Linked DNA regions of Tamandua tetradactyla. The main gene of each other region encodes a partner of the protein of the gene in region 2 in a complex. Links are inferred from orthologs where the notes say so. Each region holds a gene or a part of one and is shown on either strand. Other genes may lie near its edges.

Region 1 (9,484 bases), on a different chromosome or scaffold from region 2:
GGTCCATCTCTACACAAGGACCAACCCTGTTTGACTTTGGCTAAGTAAGTATCAGAGTTGTGTGCTAAATAACAGAACACATACCTCCAAGCGAGGGGACACACTTAGGAAAGTTTCAATACAATTATGTATATGTATGTTCATGGTTATAAACAGGACAAAATAGTTTACTGGCCTCATTCTTTATAGTTACTTGAGGTAAAGCCCTGCTGTTTTATAGAATTATGAAATAATAATGAGTTATTCTTTTCTATGCAGACAGTTATACTAATGGGTACATATGTGCATAATCAAGTCTGGCAGAAGGTGGCAGACATTCCCAGTTAAGTACATATAAACCAGGCTTTTGATAACTTAATAAAAGAGTAAGTTGTTTAAAGTGCTAATAGCAGATTGGGGGGGGGGGTGATTTACCTGAACTAGATAGGAATTAAGATTAGAATTTAGATTAAAAGCATGAAGGTTCCTAGGTGCGCAGACCCCAGCCAGAATACAATCCACACAGCCCTTTATCAAATCCCTGCTTATGATGCCTACATATATTCACTTTACTACCTGGCCTTCATCTTGCCTGCATACGTAAGAAATGAGGGTGATTCTCACACATCTAGGCTCAGACAATGTAGCTGCTAAATTAAATAATGTGTAACATACATTTACACATCATACATGCCCATATAAATGCTTTTAAATTCTATTTGTCCAGATGTGGCTGCTTGGTTGTGGAGCCACCTGCCGCAGCCAACCCCTTTGTGATCTGATCAGTCCAACCGGCTCCTGTTTCTGCCTCTAACACCCTGTTGGGCAGTAATAAGAGTTAAAGCAACAACAGAGAGAGAAGCCAGGCTGTCAGCTTCTGAGAGGAAGGGGGTGAGGAGGGTACACCAAGGGGCAATAAGAAAGGAAGTAGAGGGGAGATCAAAGACCAGCAGGAAGAAAAGCCAGGCTGCTAAGGAAGATGTGGTGTCAGGAACTGGGACCCTAAGGAAGACCCCAAAGCAATGAGACTGAAATTGTGCCATCCAGTTACCCAGGCTATTGAATTATTGAATGTCCCACATGGATAAAGCTAATGTAGTGAAAAATGGCCCATGCTTAGGGTAAGCAGAGCCCTACAGAGGGGTTGCACGAGACCTGAGCCTGCTTCTTCGCAGCACAGTTACCTCCTACCTCGCTATTCCCCAGTACCCGAAACCTTTGTGTGACCAGTTTCTATAGGGGGCATCGATGGTGGTGGCTTTTTTTCTTTTAAGAAAAGGGAGAAAAGACTCAGAATGCACACAGAGAAAATGCTAATGTCGTTCAGCTCCGTTTCATTGTCAGGAGGGACACAGGAGGATAAAAACAGAGCTCTCCAAACCGTTCTCCCGGCTTCCCCCTCCTCCCAGCACCGCCATCCGTCCCCTTCCCTGGATGTGTCTCCGCGCTTTGTTCTAATTTATCCCATGCATAATTTATTCATGTGTGTATTGTTTCCTGATCGGCAACTTTTAAAAGACAAATGAAATATATAAAATGTGTTATTAAACAAGTCGTTTTAAAAAATAAAGGCAGATGGTGTCGGTCTCCCCATAACACCGTGCGTGCTCCAGCGTGAGTAGTTTAAAAATAGTCGAGGGCGCGGGGGTATTGTTTACACCCCCTCACCCCCAGGGAAAGGGGTTGGGATGCAAAAAGGGGCGGTTAACTATAAATGACCACTCAACTTTCACCTGGAAAAAGCAGGCAAGGTGTTGTGTGTAAGTCAGTGGGGGGGGGGGGGGGGAAGCAGAATTACAAGTACATGACACTGCAACTGTTTCTAATTATATAAAGTGCAAGCATAATTCAGAACAAATTCCACTAAGCAGTCGGGATTTAGCCTCCTTTTCCCGCCTCTCTGTCTCTTCCCCTACCCTTAACTCCACCCCTACACAGACACCCTACCCAAACCAAACATGCATCCTCCTATGGTTAAAAAAAAAAATACTGGAGCGAGCAAGGGAACCCTGGAGCCGGAAGACGTTGCACCAGCGCATAAACTGGCTCCTGGAAAACGAGGGTACAGCTTTCCCTATAGAAAACAAACCCGGCGCACATGCGAAATAGATTTCTCTAACTTGAGTTTATCAGATGGCATCAGCCCAGATACGCGATTTCGGCTGAAAATGGGGAAACTGCAAATCGGCTCTGGATTCGATAGAAACTCACAGCATCGGCTGTGCAGCAGCGCGAGCGACTGCAAACGAGGATGCGGAGAAGTTACGCCCATTTATTCTGCCATAAAACATTTTCTTTCTTGGGTGAAACGCCGTGGCGTTCAAGTGTTGTGTATCCGAGCTTCCCACGGAGAGCTGAAAGCCGGGGACTCCTCTCGGATCAGCCTTAGCTTCCAATGCCCCTCCCCCGCCTCCCCAACCCGACCTTTAATTATATATATGTTTAAAACTCCGAAAACTGGGACATTCCTATCCTTTTCCCTTATTGCTGGTGAGAAGTTAACCAGTGCAAATACGGCCGATTCTCCCAGCGCGTTCCTTCGCGTTCGAGAGCTGTCTACTGCCTCCGGGTGCGAACCTGGTTTTAAACTCCCGGAGGAGCCCGGGAGGCGGACGCGGACGCGCGCGGGTGAAAGAACCAGGATCTGTTTAGGCAACGCACAAGGGACACGAAACTCCCCTCCGCCCGGACATCCCCTCCCCTAGCCCGAGGCTTCCATCCCAGCAGGGAAGTCCTGGTGGAATGGGCACCGATCCCGAGCCCACGTCGCGCCGCGAATCCGGAGGGAGCCTCCCCCCCCCCCCTCTGCCAACAGCACAGCCAACATCATCCCCCTTAGAGCGATGCTAGTTTTCTGAGCCCACCCCCGGCTCCGCGATAGCAAGCGGACTTGGCGGCTTAACAGTTCCACCGACTGAAAGGAAGGAAGGAAGCCAGGATGAAAAGAAGGAGGAAGGCAGGCAGGCAGGAATTGGCTGTCGAACCCGGGGACTGGCCCCCGCATGTCCTTGCTCAGCCCGCCCCCCCACCCCCACCCCGCCGCCCCCCGCTTCGTCCCGGATCTGGGCGTCCGCTCAAAGTCTCCCGGCGGCGGCCAGAGGCACCTGCCCCTTGCTCTGGCCGGGAGCAGACACTGCCGCTCAGGCCGGGGGCCCCAAGCCGCCTCTCCGCACGCCTCGGCATTTCACCCAGGGGAAGCAAGAACACCATTCATAAGACCTGCAGCTTCGCTGCCTCCAAATCAACCCCAAGTTAACCCGAGTCATTAATTTACTACGGCCAGTTCGCCCGCAAACACACACGCATACATGCACACCGGCTACCGCCCGGAGCGCCGTCATGCTCCGAGGGCTGCCCCGGCAGGAAAGCCCGGGGCAGCCACCTGGGCCCGAGGGCTCCCGGGACCCGCTGCTCCCCCCCCGCGGTCCTTCCAACTCCGGAAGGTTTGCCCAAACTCCCCGCGAGCGATCGGAAGGCGAAGAGCGCCCTGCAAACTCCTGAGCCACCGCGATCCGCTTGCCGCGCGGACCAAGCCACCCGGCGGAGACTGCGGGCTCTGAGGCGCGGGACTCAGCCGAATATACCCAGGCGGCCCCTGCCCGGCACTAGCCCCCAGCTCGACCGCTCCCCGAGCGGCGCTCGCCACCCGGCGAGCCCAGGGGCTCCGGAGACCGCGCTGTCCCCAAGCTGCCCGCAATCCCCCTAGCTGTGGAGCGCTCGGGCGCCAGGCTACCCTGCCGATAACCCTTCTCTCTCTCCGTCCACCAATTAAGCAGAACCCAAATGTAACAATTTTCTTCTTGTTAATTGCATCTCCTGACATTTCTGTGCGTTGGGGGAAAAGAAAAAGATGAAGTAGGAGCTGAAAGAAAAGAGAGAAGCCCCGCGGTGACTGGAGGCGCCTGCAAGCGCAGTGCTTTGGCAGCGCTCAGCACGGAGAAGGCGCCTTTTTTTCATATTGAAACCACGCGGAATATGTACATTTTTTAGCCTTACTTACGCTTTCAGGGGGTTGTGAATGACAGTCGCCATTTTGCTACAATGTAACAGAATATTGTCTGTCTCAGAGTTCTAAAGGTTCGCTCAGGGGAAGCGGCGAGCCAATCAGAACACGGGATACCGGCCCGCCGGCCAATCGGCGCGGCTGGTCGCCAGGTGGGCAGGGCCTGCGCGATGGTAGTTATTAGGGGAGCTGTCAAAGCCCAGAGGTCACTCCCTTTTGTAGAGCCCAAGAGCGAGCAGGTCTTAAAGGGGCAGTACCGCGCGAGCAGCTCCTTTTCGGTTTGGGGAAATTGGAGACGCACGGGACGAGTATTCTAGTTTGGTCTGAGACCCTACTTTTCTAAATAGCTGCAAAATTTGCGATCTTGAACAGAAATATTTAAGTATCGCCAGCAAACCACTGAACCCCATTCATTATCTTTCGGCTTTGCTAATAGTGTTTTTACTCTCCCAAAGAGCAAGTCCTCTTGTTCCCGTGCAAAAGTTGAAAGCTTGCTGTTTCGTCAAACAATGTACTAAACGTAGCCGTTTGCTAATGCTCTGGGTCCTACGACTTTTTAATATTCTTACTCCCGAAGTGTTTTCTTTATCTCGGCCACCTTCCTCTCCCCTGTAACTGCCGCCGCACTGCCGCCGCTGTTCCTGACGACTGCAGGACAGCAACTCCCCTCCCCCTGAATGTCTCAATGTCAAGTTCGCTCTCTACAGCAGCCCGGGCTTTCGTTACGTAATGCAGGGTGGTCACACTGAGCGATTCCCCAATACCACCCCTTCTGTTCACCCCACACTCCCGAAACTTCGGAAATGATCGCGGATCCCGCCAACTGGAGAGCTAAGCTCTCTGACCTTTAGGCTTAGGGATAAGGGAGGTTTAGGGAAACCAGTGGAAGCGCCTTCTGTTACTAGGAAAGCGAATAACTTGAAGACAGGAGTTATGGAGCCTAGAATGGGTGTTGCTAGAGTCCCTTTCGGGGAGTGGCACACGCGATTCTGGCGTCATCTTTCACTATTTAGGTAGAAGCTGAAAAGAATTTGCTAATGAATAATCCGGTGTGACCCGAGGCGTTCCGAGAGACCTTCTGCTTCAAGTTAGTGTGAATTCCCTCACTGGCGAACCCCTGACAAAACTGGGAGACTTCTGCGAAATCAGGCTTCCACTGGGCAGCCGGGAAGCTCCGGGTGGATGAAATCGTACTGTCGAGAATAGGGCAGGCAGGGCCCTCGTTAGCATAGAGAAGTCTGGCTGTTTAATCAGGTCAAATAGCTAAGATAGTGGGGGAGGGGTGAGAAGGGGAGAATGGAGATGCCAGATTGCCCTCTCAAAGCTTTGCCCTCTCACTTCCTTTCTCAGCGCTCCTCTCAAGGCAATGAATTTTTTTTAAAAGAAAAAAAAAGTTCCAAAACTTCAGAGTTCAACTCCCTACACCACTAGAGTTACAGATAAACAGAACATGGCTGAATCAGTATGTTTGTAATAGACTTGAAATTTTTAACTCCTCTCTTTCTGATTAGTTAATAGCAGAGCCAGGTTCTATGGATTGCCTTTGTGACTTTTTTGACAGCACCTTGCCAGAGATGGCAGTTTGAAAAACGTTGTCCCCTTTTCAATAATTGAAGTTTGAAAACACCCTTCCTCATTAATTCAAACATATTAAGGGCTTAGTTCCAAAGCTTATCTTTGCCTGAGATGGACCCTGATATCACTGAGAAGCAACTATTATGTTCAGATGAAGAAGTTCAGGCTTCTCAGATGAGGTTGAAGTATTAGTCATAATTCCCACGAGTTCGAATTGAAGGACAACATATTTTAATATATGCAGCTTTATAAAAGAAGTAAGAAATATAGTATTGCACCTGCCCTGAACAATGCTTACAATTTAATGGGAGAAGAGAAGAAAAACAAAGTATTACATCTAAAAGAAAAAATATATACTCAAAGCATATACATATAGTTTACTGTGTTAAGGCCTTGGCATAATTCCTAATATCTGGCACATATGAAAGTGGCAGCCCATGATTTTTCAAACTTTTTCTTTGCCTTCATTTTGAGAGAGTTTTCATCTGGAATTGAAACATCTAAGTTACATTTTATAATGTGAAAATCGAAAAAATAATGAAATAAAACTATGTTTTTTTAAGTAGGTTAATCTTGGGTTTTTTTTGTAACCCAGTAGAAAGCATTTTAATTCAGACACTGCAGGTACAACTTCTAAATAAACAGAATTGTGAATTTGCCTTTTGTCAGTTCTCAGCTATATAAGTTATTATTATTTTCAACTTTATCTTCTTTATCATAGATCACAATGTTTCTACAGTAAAGCAGGTCCCATTCTGCCAATTTGCAATGGTATGGCATGAAGCCAAATGCTCCAAATATGTCTTAAATATACCAACCCACCAAAAAGACACATGTTTTTCACCAGAATGCTTAAAAGCAAGAGGGCTTAGAATGGACATGCCTAAAGGTGATAGGAGCCTAGTAGAATTTCAGAGAATGTTTAGTTTTGTGAGGCAGTGTTGTATATGTTAACGGAGTGTGGGCTCTGAAATCTGTTTTCCTGAGTCCTTCACTTTCCAGCTGCATTATCTTGGGCCAGTTTACTTAGCTACTCTATGGTGTCAGTGTCCTCATCCGAAAAGTGGCAATAATAATAATAGAATTTTCATACGGCTCTTGCCAGGATTGAATAATATATGTCAAGTGTCTGGCACATAGCAAGATCTCGAAAAATGGTGACCATTATTTTTACAGATACTTAATTCTTTCCTGATGGTATAAGGTACATAGTTAAACTTTATTTAACTTATTGCTCTGAGAAAAATGGCAACTGAATAACTTTGAGGAAAAAATAATAAACAGGAATTTTTCGATCAGGGGTCATTTCACTACTTAAACCATGTCCTCTTGCTCAGTAGACTTTCAAGACACTTTTAAAATCACATTTCTAAAGCTCTATAGATATTCATATACTTGAATATACTCCACCCAGCCCCATTTCTTCCATCTTTATATAGCTGCCTAGGCAGCCTAATTTGCTAGGCAGAGTGGGTCCAAAATAACCTCTTCCCCATCCCACCTGAGAGTCTAGAGCTGCACTGTCCAATATGGTAGCCAGAGACTACCTGTGGCTATTGAGCACTTGAAATGTGGCAAGTACAAATTGAGATGTCATAAGTATAAAATACACACTGGATTTCATAAGGCTTTGTATGATAAAAAGGAATGTCACATATCTCATAAATCATTTTTTATACTGATTACATGTGGAAATGATATTTTGGATATATTAGGTAAATAAATACATTATTGAAGCTAATATTCCCTATTTCTTTTTACTTCTTTTAATGTGACTACTAGAAAATTTAAAATTGCACGTGTGGCTCCCATTGTATTTCTATGGACAGTGCTGCTCAAGGCTGTGTGTTACCAGGGAAGTAAGCGTGGGGCCTATCTCAGTCATATGCATTCATTCTGCATAATCTTTTCAAATCTAACCTTATCAATTAGCAGACTCTCTGGTCCAGCTCAGGTACATGTTCAATGCCACCCATCCAAAGGAACATTTGGGGTACAACAAGGACCCATGCACCCAAACCACAAGGGGCACCCATACCTGTTCACTCCTAAAAAGTCTGAAGTTTGTCTCAGCAATGAGGAGATGTCCGTCTAGAAGTAGGGAAGAATGGCACTTTTGTAGCAGGTGCCAAACTTTCCAGCTGACTTTTTAAAGGCACATCCATATACGAGAGGGAAGTAAAGAAAGGAGATGCAAACTTCAAGAACAGCCAGAGTTCATTTAAAAGAGGAAGCATACCACAGAAGCCGTCCAAAATAAATGCAGTCCCTGGTGGGCTCTGGGGCTTGAAGGAGTCTCGGGTCTTGCGGGCATTAGAACAAGAGCAATCCCTCCATTTATCTGCAGACTAACCAGCCATGCCCAGGGCAGCTGGTTGACCTGGGCTGGTTCCCTGAGATCCAGAACCAGCTTTGGTACATTCTAGGCACTGAGCTGAAGAGGAATTCTTTTGAAGAATAGAGGGCATAAAAACTGCAGCCTATAAAAAAGCTAACCATACCACATGACCTGCAATACCTCTCCTAAGTATACTCAAAATAATTGAAAGCAGGGAATCACATGGATACGTGTAAACCAATATTCATGACAGCATTATTTACAATAGCAGAAAGGTGGAAACAACCCAAGTGTTCACCATCCGATGCATGGATAAACTGCAGCAGAATATATATATGAATATTATTCAGCCATAAAAAGGAAAGAAGCGCTGATACATGCTATAATATGGATGAACCTTGAACACATTATGCCAAGTGAAAAAAGCCAGACACAAAAGGATAACTTATATGGCTTCATTTATACAGAATAGCAAATTCATAGATACAGAAAGTGGATCAGAGGTTATCAGGGGCTTGGGTGAGAGGGGAATGGGGAATTATTGCCTAATAGGTAAAGAGTTCCTATTTGGAGTGATGAAAAATTTTGGTAATGGATGATGGTGATGGTAGCACAATGTAAATACAATTAATGCCATTGAATTATACACTTAAAATGGTTAAAATGGCAATTTATATATCATATATGCATATATAACCACAATAACTTTCTTTAAGTTAAAAAAAGAAAAACATAACCTGGCTTTCTCTTTTCTTAGGGAAAATGGTAGGGAAGGATTCTTACTCCCTTTACAATTTCTCAAAGCGTAGAAAAGAAAAAGCATATCAAGCTCTGGATTTGGGTGATGCTCCTAGGGCCAGGCCTCGAAAATCACATATTTCTGAGTAGAGTCATAAAAAGGAATCAATGCTTGCTGCTTCCCACTAACTTAGCTCATTCAGTCACTCATCCATTGAGGAATTTCTATGAGGGAGACATTGTGCTAGGCACAGGTGGCAAAATAAAAACAAACCAGACATGAAAACAACCCTCAAAAAGATCTCATCCTGCATCTGGAGGGAGAATAACGATGGCAGGCCCGCCCCATGAGCCAGCAGAGCAATTACTTAATGTGACTTAAAAGGGAAGAGCAGCCTGCTCAGCCAGTCCCCTTTTCCTGGCAGGGATCATGGGATCCCAATGGATGCGTCCTTGGGTGTTTATTAAATGACTACTATGGACACCATCAAAGGTTCATTCCTTTGGGTTCCCAAGGTTTCAAGACATTGAGATTTTCATAAACTAGTATAAAGGATATATTAGGGAATATACTAGGGTATACGAGTCAAAGGTCCTCAGTAAGGCTTTATGGAGAAGGTCATGTTTAATTTGGGCCAAAGTTGGGTAGATTTTAAAAATGAGTCAAGGGCTTAAGGGCCTTTAGACCTCCCACCCATCTCCGCCAACAGCTAATTCATATAGAAAATATTTGGAGAATCTCTACTCTGTGCCACCATGCCACCCTCACTCCTGGACCTTGGGGGTACAGAGAGACCTAAGATAGACCAACCTATAAAGGTTATAAAAGCTCTTATTCAAAAAGTCAGGGA
Region 2 (9,081 bases):
TATCTCCCAATTGTTTGATCATGGTCTCCTTCCAGTTTAGTTTGGTAATGGATGCTGGCGATGGTAGCACAAAATTATGACCGTAATTAACCGCACTGAGTTATATATTTGAATGTGGTTAGAGGGGAAATTTTTAAATTGCACACATGTTACTAGAGTAAAAATTAGTTAAGAACATAGGACTGTGCAACACAAACAGTGAATCCTGTTGTAAATGAACAAATATAGTTAATAGAACAACTATAAAAATGCTCTTTCATGAACTGTAACAAATGTACCACACGAAAGCAAGGTGTAAATAGTAGGGTGGACCGTGGGAACTGTGCATGTTATGGATGATTTTTCTGTAAACTTACAACTTTTCTAATAATAGAAAAGAAAGGACACATAAAACATGATTTATGTATATTTATTCATAATATATGTATACAGTATTAACATATAAAATGCATTATAAAACATACACGAAATGTTTCATGAAACATTTCATGAAACGTTTTCATTTCATAATTGTGAAACACTGTGAAATGTTCCATTTCACAAAAACTATGAAGGAATGAGATGAAGACGATAGTAAAGTTTTAAACGTCTTGCTGATCATGATGATGTTGCACCATCAAAGGTTAACATCTCCAGGTAAAATATATTCTTAGGCCAGAATTCATCATTAATGATAGCTTATGTCTAAATTTCATGTAGTCTTTTGGATAATTGTGAATGGTTTTTAACCTTTCTCTTGTCAGATCCTGTTTTTACTTCTCAACATGGTGGACAATGTGCTATTCGAAGTTCAAGCCGCAGATCTGACACTGATTTTCACCTGGGCTGTCATTACTGGCAGTCTCTCAGTCTTTGATTTCTCTGTAGAAATCTTTTTAAGCCATTTGCTTCCTAAATAGGAGGGTTGCTTGTTTAAAACTAGAAAATATTACCTTGTGAGTCCATTTACCATCGAATCAGCTTCAGGTGATATCAATACCCAGAAAGTGAAAGAACCAGAGGGGACGCCACTGTCAGCCCTCTGTGTTGGGGACTCCTGCCCTGGCCTCATGGCCTCTGCATTCGTCAGGTACAATACAGGGTATATGGCCAGCTGACTCAGGGACCATGTAAAGGCCCCACAGTGAATGAGTGTGATAAACATTAATAAGGCTCATTTAAAAAATTTTTGCATCACTACATTTCTTTTATCATTGAAAGAAAAAGAAACAGACTTTCTAACATTCTTCCCACCTCCCACTGATTTGTCTTGCCCACTCCACTTAGGAGAACCTGCCTTAGGCAAATTATCTGTCATCTCAAAAAATGTTTTCTCATCGGTAAAATGGGTTTAATATCACAAATCTCAAAGGATTTAATGGCATATGTAAAGGGCTTTTACAAATTCTGGCATACGATTTAAAGGAGAAACAAAAGGGAGTTACTATCATAATTATTATTAGTCTATTACACAATTACCATGTATTCATTTGTGTTATTCTTAGCCTAATTAAAAAAAAAAACAAAAACCCAAACAAGCAAACTCCTCTCAATACTCTTCGTGTTATGGCAAGAGCTATAGCTTCTCCTCACCTTCTCTCCCTTAAACAAAACAAAATAAAACCCAAAAACATGTCAGCCTTTTCAGCTTAGAAAATAATACAAAGCTTCTGAACACTTAGTAATCTTGTTCATTAACATGATAATTGCTAACAACAAAGATCTTATGAATTCTCTATAATTTTAATATATGTCTCATCCTTTCATTCAACAAACTTTTTTTTTTCTTTTAACAGCATACAATGTGCTGGGCACCCTGCTAATTGCTGGGGCTTCAAAGATGAATTGAACTTGCTCTACATCCTCCAGGCACTAACCATCTAGTGGAGAATACCAAACAAATAATCGCATCAAAGTGATAAGTGCTATAATGGAGGTACACACTGGTTGCTATGGAAGCAGAATAGGACAAGGGGTCTCCTCTGCCCGGGGAAGGGAAGGAGGGCCACTGGAAGGACGCTGGGCCATTGCTGAGTCTTGGAGGATGTGGGGTGAGGACCTGCATTTCAGTCAGAGGGAATGTGGACGAGGAAGGAAGTCTCCTTTGGAACCAAAAGATAGACCAGGTTTCCCAGAGCTCAGGCATTTTGAGATGGTCAATGAGGCTGGTAGGGACCTGTCCAGGCACAGCCTTGGAGAACACGCTAAGTATGAAATTTATCCTATAATGGATTGAGAATGGACCGAGGACAAACTAGAAAGTGATATGATCACAAAGAGAATTGAGGTGGTATTTTGGAGGAATGATTGTGAGGAGACAAGATCTACTGGGATTATTGATTGAGGGGAAAAAAGGAGAGAGAGAAGTGTTTATTTCTACAATAAATTTATTTGCTAATTCTAAATACATTTCTCCAATAAATTTATTTGCTAATGCTAAATTCTCTTCATTAAATTAAATGTCAGCTGATTCAGTCTGTCAAAGCTTAGTTTCCATTATTGTAGATGAAGTACCTATTCCCTAAATGGTCTTACCTGCTCTTCTTTGAAGTTAGGCAACATTTTAGTAAACATTAACAGCTTGTCTGTTGAAACTAGAAGCTCCCTAACTTTGTGCATGGAATTTTTCTTTATGAGTATTTTGTCACTAGATATCAATTTTCAAACCCAGTATCTTACTCTTTACAGAACTAAAGCAGAGTTACATAACAAGTGAATATGGCCACACAGAAATGAAAAAGTGACTTCCATCCCTTGATGCCAAACTAGAAAGAGAAAAGCTAGTTCTGAGAACACATTATGACTCATCAAAGTCCAAAACGAAAAGCTTCATGTGAATATAGCATCCTGTGCAGCCTCCTGGAGTCCTTTTAGCCTCCAACCATATTTGCTTTTGTGTGATTTTCTGCAAAACAAAAGAATCCCATCATTTTCCTCCTTAACATCAATTGTTAAATTTTGCCTTACCTCAGAGATGAAGCTCATGCTAGGTGTTCTGCATTCTTTTTGTACCAAGTGAATGATGGTGCTCTTTCATTTCTCCTGAGTTTAGGACTTATTTTATAAAATTCTTATTTGCTGTAATGCAAACCATAAACAAGATGATTCTTCAGAGGAAAGATCTGAAGGGAGAAGGTGGTGCTTTCTTAGACTAATGTGAGGGAAAAGGAGATGAAAAATCTATATTTAATCTGTGCCCCCAATGAAGATCTTGTTTTTAAATTCCCATAGTTGTGCCTCTAATAGATGGATACCATCCTCTCCTGTAGCCCCAAGTACTACATCAAAATTTTATGTGAGCTGAAGAATACACACATATACAAAGGGAATGCTTTCTTCTTTACTTTCCCTTTGACAAAATGCCAGAAGGAATGGCCAGTCTCATCATCAGTGTCTTACTAAGGTGATGTTCTCTTTGAAATTTGGCATGGCAGGTGGAGGTGGGATAAAGGACACTCATTCGTGAGGGAATAAAGATGAAGTCATCGATTTCTGCAAGTTGGCATGTGAGGTTGGCATGCAAGGGAAGCAAAAACAAATTTAAACCTAATATTATCTAATGTAATGTACATTGTCATTATCTTACAGAGCCTTTTATAGACAACTGAGTTATCTGGCTATATGATTAGTTGCAATTTATTAGACAGTTAGAAGTTAGTATTTTTATTATACTTTTACTACAATTTTTGCTTAAGATTTCTTGCTGTATATTTCTCAGTTAATAGTTATGTTGGCCCTCAGGCAGGGAAAACAAGTTCTTACAACGGATTCTTCAGGGCATACTATACTCTATTTCACTTAGGTGTGCTATCTTTTGTTGTCTTGAGGTTCACTTTGGGCTAGACAGAAAATTAGGAGGACAAAGTTAACAATCAAGTAACAAGGCCTTGGAAAACCTCAGGATGGGGGATAATTGATACTCCTAGCCACTCCAAAAACGGTGTCTTTGCACACCAGGCTTCAGCTAGCAATGGACTGGCATGTGAACAATACCTGCCACATAATGCCACATGGAGTATTTGGTGTTCTTTCCACGGCTTCTTGTCTTCAATTTATTCAGCCTGTAGTTTCAAGCATCCTAGAACTGCATTTCAGATCTGGTTGCTCAAGTAGAGTCAATGTTGCAATAGCAAAATGGTGATAGGATAGGATTTTACTCTAGGGGAAAAAATCCTCAACCAAAGTCACAGTGCACTTGGAATGACTAATTTAAGCCATTACATTACAAAATAAGGGATAAATCATAGTTTTCATAACACTCCCGTGTAGGAACAGTTTTAATTTTAAGAGTCAAGCACCTACATTAATCTGAGTCTAAAATAATAGGCCCCTGATTTAAAATCTCCCAACATTCTTTCACACTTCATAAAACTAAAAATAAAATTGTCTCAGCAAACCCTGACCTATTGGTCCGACCAAAGTACCATGTTTCAAAGAAAATTAGAACAAGAGATCTCAAAACCGTGAAGTGCCCGAGGTTTACTATTTGTAGCCTTAATTGGTCTTAAATGTGGAGTGGGAGAGAAGAGACGATGGGCTGTAGAGAAAAAGAGATTTATTCCCCCTCTTAAATCAAAAGCAGATTCCGTTCTTCAACTGCCCCCGAGCTCGCTTGCCCCGCCCCCGCATCGGGTTGTTTTTCTATATTTTTGTATATATTTTACACGAAAATGACAGATGAGGAAGGTTACAGTGCTATGTCTACTCCACGGAATATACAGAGGGGTTAAAGCGGGCTTATTTATTTATAAGGCGTTCAGCCTCTCAGCTGTTTCTCCCCTCACTGGCATTTGGAAGCTTGCAATCCTTTGGAGAAGAGACTGATTTGGCAGGAATGTTCTTTGTGCCTGCTACCCTATGGGGGGGGGGGGGGGAGGGAGCAGATTTGTAATTACAGCCCGGGGTGGGGAACGGAGAAGAAAAAGTTTCAACCGGCACGATAATGCCCCCTTTTTTCCCCCCTCGGTCAGCACCGTGCCACCAACAGCTTTTGGTGCCACTTAGAGCCTCTCCCTGTCCCCTCCTTTTCTCTCCGCAGGCTCGCACTGGCAGGCGGAGACAGTTAAATTCCAGCACCTTCCCCACATACCCCCAAACTACTACGCGCTATTACTACGGCTTCCCTCCCTTTCGCTTCGCCTCCTCCTCCCCTCCAGCCTCCCCGGAGGCGGCCCGCAGCGCCTGGGGAAGAGGACTGCCAAGGCAGGAATAACAGACGCCCAACTCCATCAGGGCTCGGGGCTTTCTGCGTCCTGCGCAGTTTATCCGCCCCAGGCAAAAACACAGCCCTAGAGCCGGCGCCTTGCAGCCACACACGGATCCAGTACAGTAGAGCTGTCTCGGTCTACATTCTTGCACACCGCCCCCTCCTCCCCCCGCGCTCGCGGAGTCGCCGAGCCGAGCGAGTGACAGGCGCGTCCCACCAACCCGCGCCCGGCCGGGCAGGGAGGAGCGGCTCTCGGGGCCAACTGCGGCGCGTCTTCCGGCGCCCGTGGAGGCGGCGAGGGTGGGACGCGGGGCGGAGCCCGAGTTTAGGAAGAGGAGGGGATGGCTGTCATCAATGAAGTCATATTCATAATCTAGTCCTCTCTCCCTCTGTTTCTGTACTCTGGGTGACTCAGAGAGGGAAGAGATTCAGCTAGCACACTCCTCGCGAGCAAGGTAAATATAACTTACAACTCCTTTCTCCTCTTTCCCCTCCCTCGGGGCTGCCCGCTGGAGCCGCGGCGCAAACCCCCTCCAGCACTGCGCCGCCTTCGCTGGGGATTATTCATTATTCTCCTAATTATTATTTATTGTGCATGCACGGAGACCAAAACAAACAGGCGGGCCAACCGACACAACAACAAAAAAGCCCGCCTCCTCCCCGCGGGCCTCAGGTGGAATGCTCTAACGACAGCTGCCGGGCGGGTGTGGAAGAAACGGGAAAGTTTCAACTGAACCTTGCTGTTCTAATAATAATAATAATAATTACTACTTAGAGGGAGCCAGGAGGAAAAACCAACAAACCACAGCCTTGACCCTGTGTAGGCAGTCGGCAATGCGCTGCCAACTTAAGGTTGCAACACACACACACTCGGCAAGGTTGTAATCCGCCCCATCCCCTTAAAAGCCGGGGGGGGGGGGGGGAGGCTTGGGGGGAGGTGGAGGAGAATGGAAACGCGACAGTTCATCCCGAGCAATCCTCCCCGGAAGAGTTGGAAGGGGAGCGGGAGAGGAGGACGAAGAGTCCGGGCAGGCGGCGGGGCGCCAGCGGACGCGGCTGCCACCGCTCCGGGGGATTTGTTTAAAGGGCTCCGACTGCGGAGACGCGAGTGGATTGCGGCGGGAGAAGCCGAAGCTGACGCGCGGAGAAAGCGGCAGCTACAAGCCGCCGGGCTGGTGAGCGCCGGATCCGAGGTGTCACCTGCACTTTCCGCGTTCCCTCCGGCGGGGACGGGGCCGCTGGCAGATAGACAGCAAGGCCTTTGGGCAAAGCGGCTACGGGGCGGGGGGAGGGCGGGGGGTACGCCCCGGGCGCTGCGGGCATCCCTGCTCCTGGTACCTGGCGGCCGTGCAGGCTCGGGTGTTGAAGTTCGGGGTGTCCGGCCCCGGCAGCATCGCTGGGAGGGAGAGAGGAGGCCCCGAAGAAGGAGGTCGGAGGTGCCAGCCAGGTTCAGTTACACTACCCTCCCCCTCCCCGGGTTTGTTTTCTTTTGCTTCGCTTCTTTCCCTTGGCTAGGGCTTGGGGAGCAGCGGGCGTGGGTCGCCGGTGATCGTTCGGGTGCTAGGGGCTCGCTGGGGCCCAGGAGAGCCAAGGCGGCTGCGGGCCGAGGAGGCCATGATCCGGATAATCCTCTCTGCCTGACTGTCACAAACAGAACTCTCACGCACCCGGGCAGCGGTGGTGGCGTTCGCCGGCTAAAAGGGAAAGGGCTGAGGGGGAGGATAGGGGGTAGCGAGGGAGGGAGGCTGGGAGATGGGGTGGGAGCTTCCTCCCAACGATGACACGGACCCCTTCCTTCTCGCTCCATGCTTTCGAGTTTGCTTTATTCCCATCCCAACCTGGTTTACCCCTTACTCAGCTCTTCCAACCCCCCTTCACCCGCCCGCCTTCCCTCCTCCCGTTTGCGTTGCAAATGCTGCCATGCCATCTGCAAAGGTGTCGCGATGCACTTCCCCAAATAACCGGTCCGGCGCGCCAGTCCCCGGGCGCCCACCGACCGCAGAGCACACGCCGAGCCCGGTGCCCTGGTACCCTGCACAGGCCTCACAGCCTGGGCGCAGTTGCACCTTGTGGGGCGGGGCACAGCAGTGCGGGCTCCGGGACACCCAGCGCGCTGGCCTGGGCACTCGCGCCGGTTTCCGGTACACGCGGGGAAACCGCCTGCTGCCAGTGTCTGCGCGCTTGCCCCCGCCTCCGCCGCCCGATTGCTATTATTTTTATACGGTCGCCGTTTGCGGCGTATGGTGGTGAGCGCCAGGCTTGCCGGGCTGCTTGGGGGTTGGGGGTGGAGAGAAGTTGGACGTGGATCAGGCAGGAAAAAAAAAAAAGTTTGGCAGGGAGGCTAACTACGGTGGAGGGATGGGAGGGGGCGGCGAGCGCCAGCAGCTTGCGTCTCGGCGCCCTCGGGGCCGGGGCGAGGGTGCCTGCGCGTGAGTGTGAGTGTGCGTTGTGCGCGTCGGGGCGAGTGCGTCTGGAGTCGCCGCGCGGGCAGCCGCTCCCGCCCGCGCCCTCCCGAGGAGCTCAGGGAGGGAAAGACGAGGTTTGGCGGCGGGAGCTGCTGGGGGTGACGTGCTCGTGTGAATGTGAGTGTGTGTGTGCGCGCGCGAGCGGCAGAGAATCAGGAAGTCACAGCAGCGAAGCGCACACAGACATGTTTGATCGCCGTGACATGACGCGCGCGAGGAAGGAAGCGGCGGCGGGGGCCGGGCCCCGGGCTCCGGCGCGGGCCTAGAGCTCTGGGGAAGAACCACGCTCCGGGCGGTGGACCGCGCCGACCCCGCAGGCTCTCGGAGTCCCAGCGCCGCTTTTTGTTCCGAGTCCCCCAGGTAAGCAGCCTGCGCCGCCACTGCCACCGCCCGCGTTGTGCGGAGCTTTCCAGCTCTTTCCCTGCCGGCCCCCTCTGATCTCCCCGCTCGCCTTTCCTGCCTGCAAAGTCAGGCAGGCGGGGGGAACTGGCTCCTTGTCCTCCCATCGATTGCGTGGAAAACTTTACAGCGGGAGGCACCGTGGAGGAGGAAAAAGAAGGCCTTGCTGGCTGCTGTCGCTTGTCAGACCTTTCTCCTTCAGGTCCGGAGAGTGTGAGTCGCTGCGCCCTGGGGCTGTTCCACCTTCAAACTTCGGGCCTAAATGTGCCTCCGACTCTCGCAGGATTTGCTCCAGCAATAAGATAAATATTCAAAGTCGTCCATTTGGTCTGGTCAGGCGTTTGGATTTTTTTAAGGGAAGAAGGGAGTCGAGGGAGTGGGGGTGTTGTGCAGAATCCATTCCTTATTTAATATCTGCACCGTGTGTTATGTAATTTTTGTAGCACATGGGTGCAAAGCCCATACTGGGCTTCTCCCCTCCTTTGTTTATATAACTTTTGGGAGAGTTTTGTACGGTTGTCGTCTTTTTTTCTCCTTCCCTAGCTTGGTGAAGGTTAGTGCTTTTGAAAAAAAGCAAGCGGCCCGAATTAGTATTTTTTGAAGCGGTGTCATCATTGTCTTCTGGTCATTATGGAGACACGTATTCCTAAATACTCACCAACTGTGTAATGTTAGAGCGTAAGGAAGACATTAAAAATCCACGTTTGCTTGTTTACTGCATTGAGTCGCTTTTTACGTCTATGTGTTACCGATAGCTGAGTTAACTTTTAAAATGACATTTCAAAGGACTTTTTTTTTTTTTTATGTCTGTTTGTGTGCTCTGCTTGAGTGGACAGTATTGTTGGCTGCTTCTTGAGTAGAAGACAAATTTTCACCAACCATCTAAGACTCAGAAACTCCTGACAGCTCTATCAAAATAAAAGCCATGTCCAATGTTATATGTGTGTATATACTGTATATACATATTCAAATATTTTCAGATTTTTTTTTCCCAACAGTTGTTTGGGAGCGGTAGGGGGCTGCTGACGGCAG

What was found.
Region 1: SMARCA2 (region 2) and DPF3 share a complex: the UniProt entries of both Homo sapiens proteins name them as parts of the BAF complex. The link is inferred for Tamandua tetradactyla from reciprocal best matches to the Homo sapiens genes SMARCA2 and DPF3.

The regions. Positions count from the first base shown.
Region 1 is NC_135338.1:31,488,650-31,498,133, forward strand, and holds the start of DPF3 (zinc finger protein DPF3), read right to left. Parts: upstream 4,043-9,484; 5' UTR 4,012-4,042; coding exon 3,980-4,011; intron 1-3,979. UniProt on the Homo sapiens protein: Belongs to the neuron-specific chromatin remodeling complex (nBAF complex).
Region 2 is NC_135328.1:96,171,807-96,180,887, reverse strand, and holds the start of SMARCA2 (SWI/SNF-related matrix-associated actin-dependent regulator of chromatin subfamily A member 2), read left to right. Parts: upstream 1-5,465; 5' UTR 5,466-5,640; intron 5,641-6,126; exon of another isoform or gene 6,127-6,360; intron 6,361-7,636; exon of another isoform or gene 7,637-8,010; intron 8,011-9,081. UniProt on the Homo sapiens protein: ATPase involved in transcriptional activation and repression of select genes by chromatin remodeling (alteration of DNA-nucleosome topology).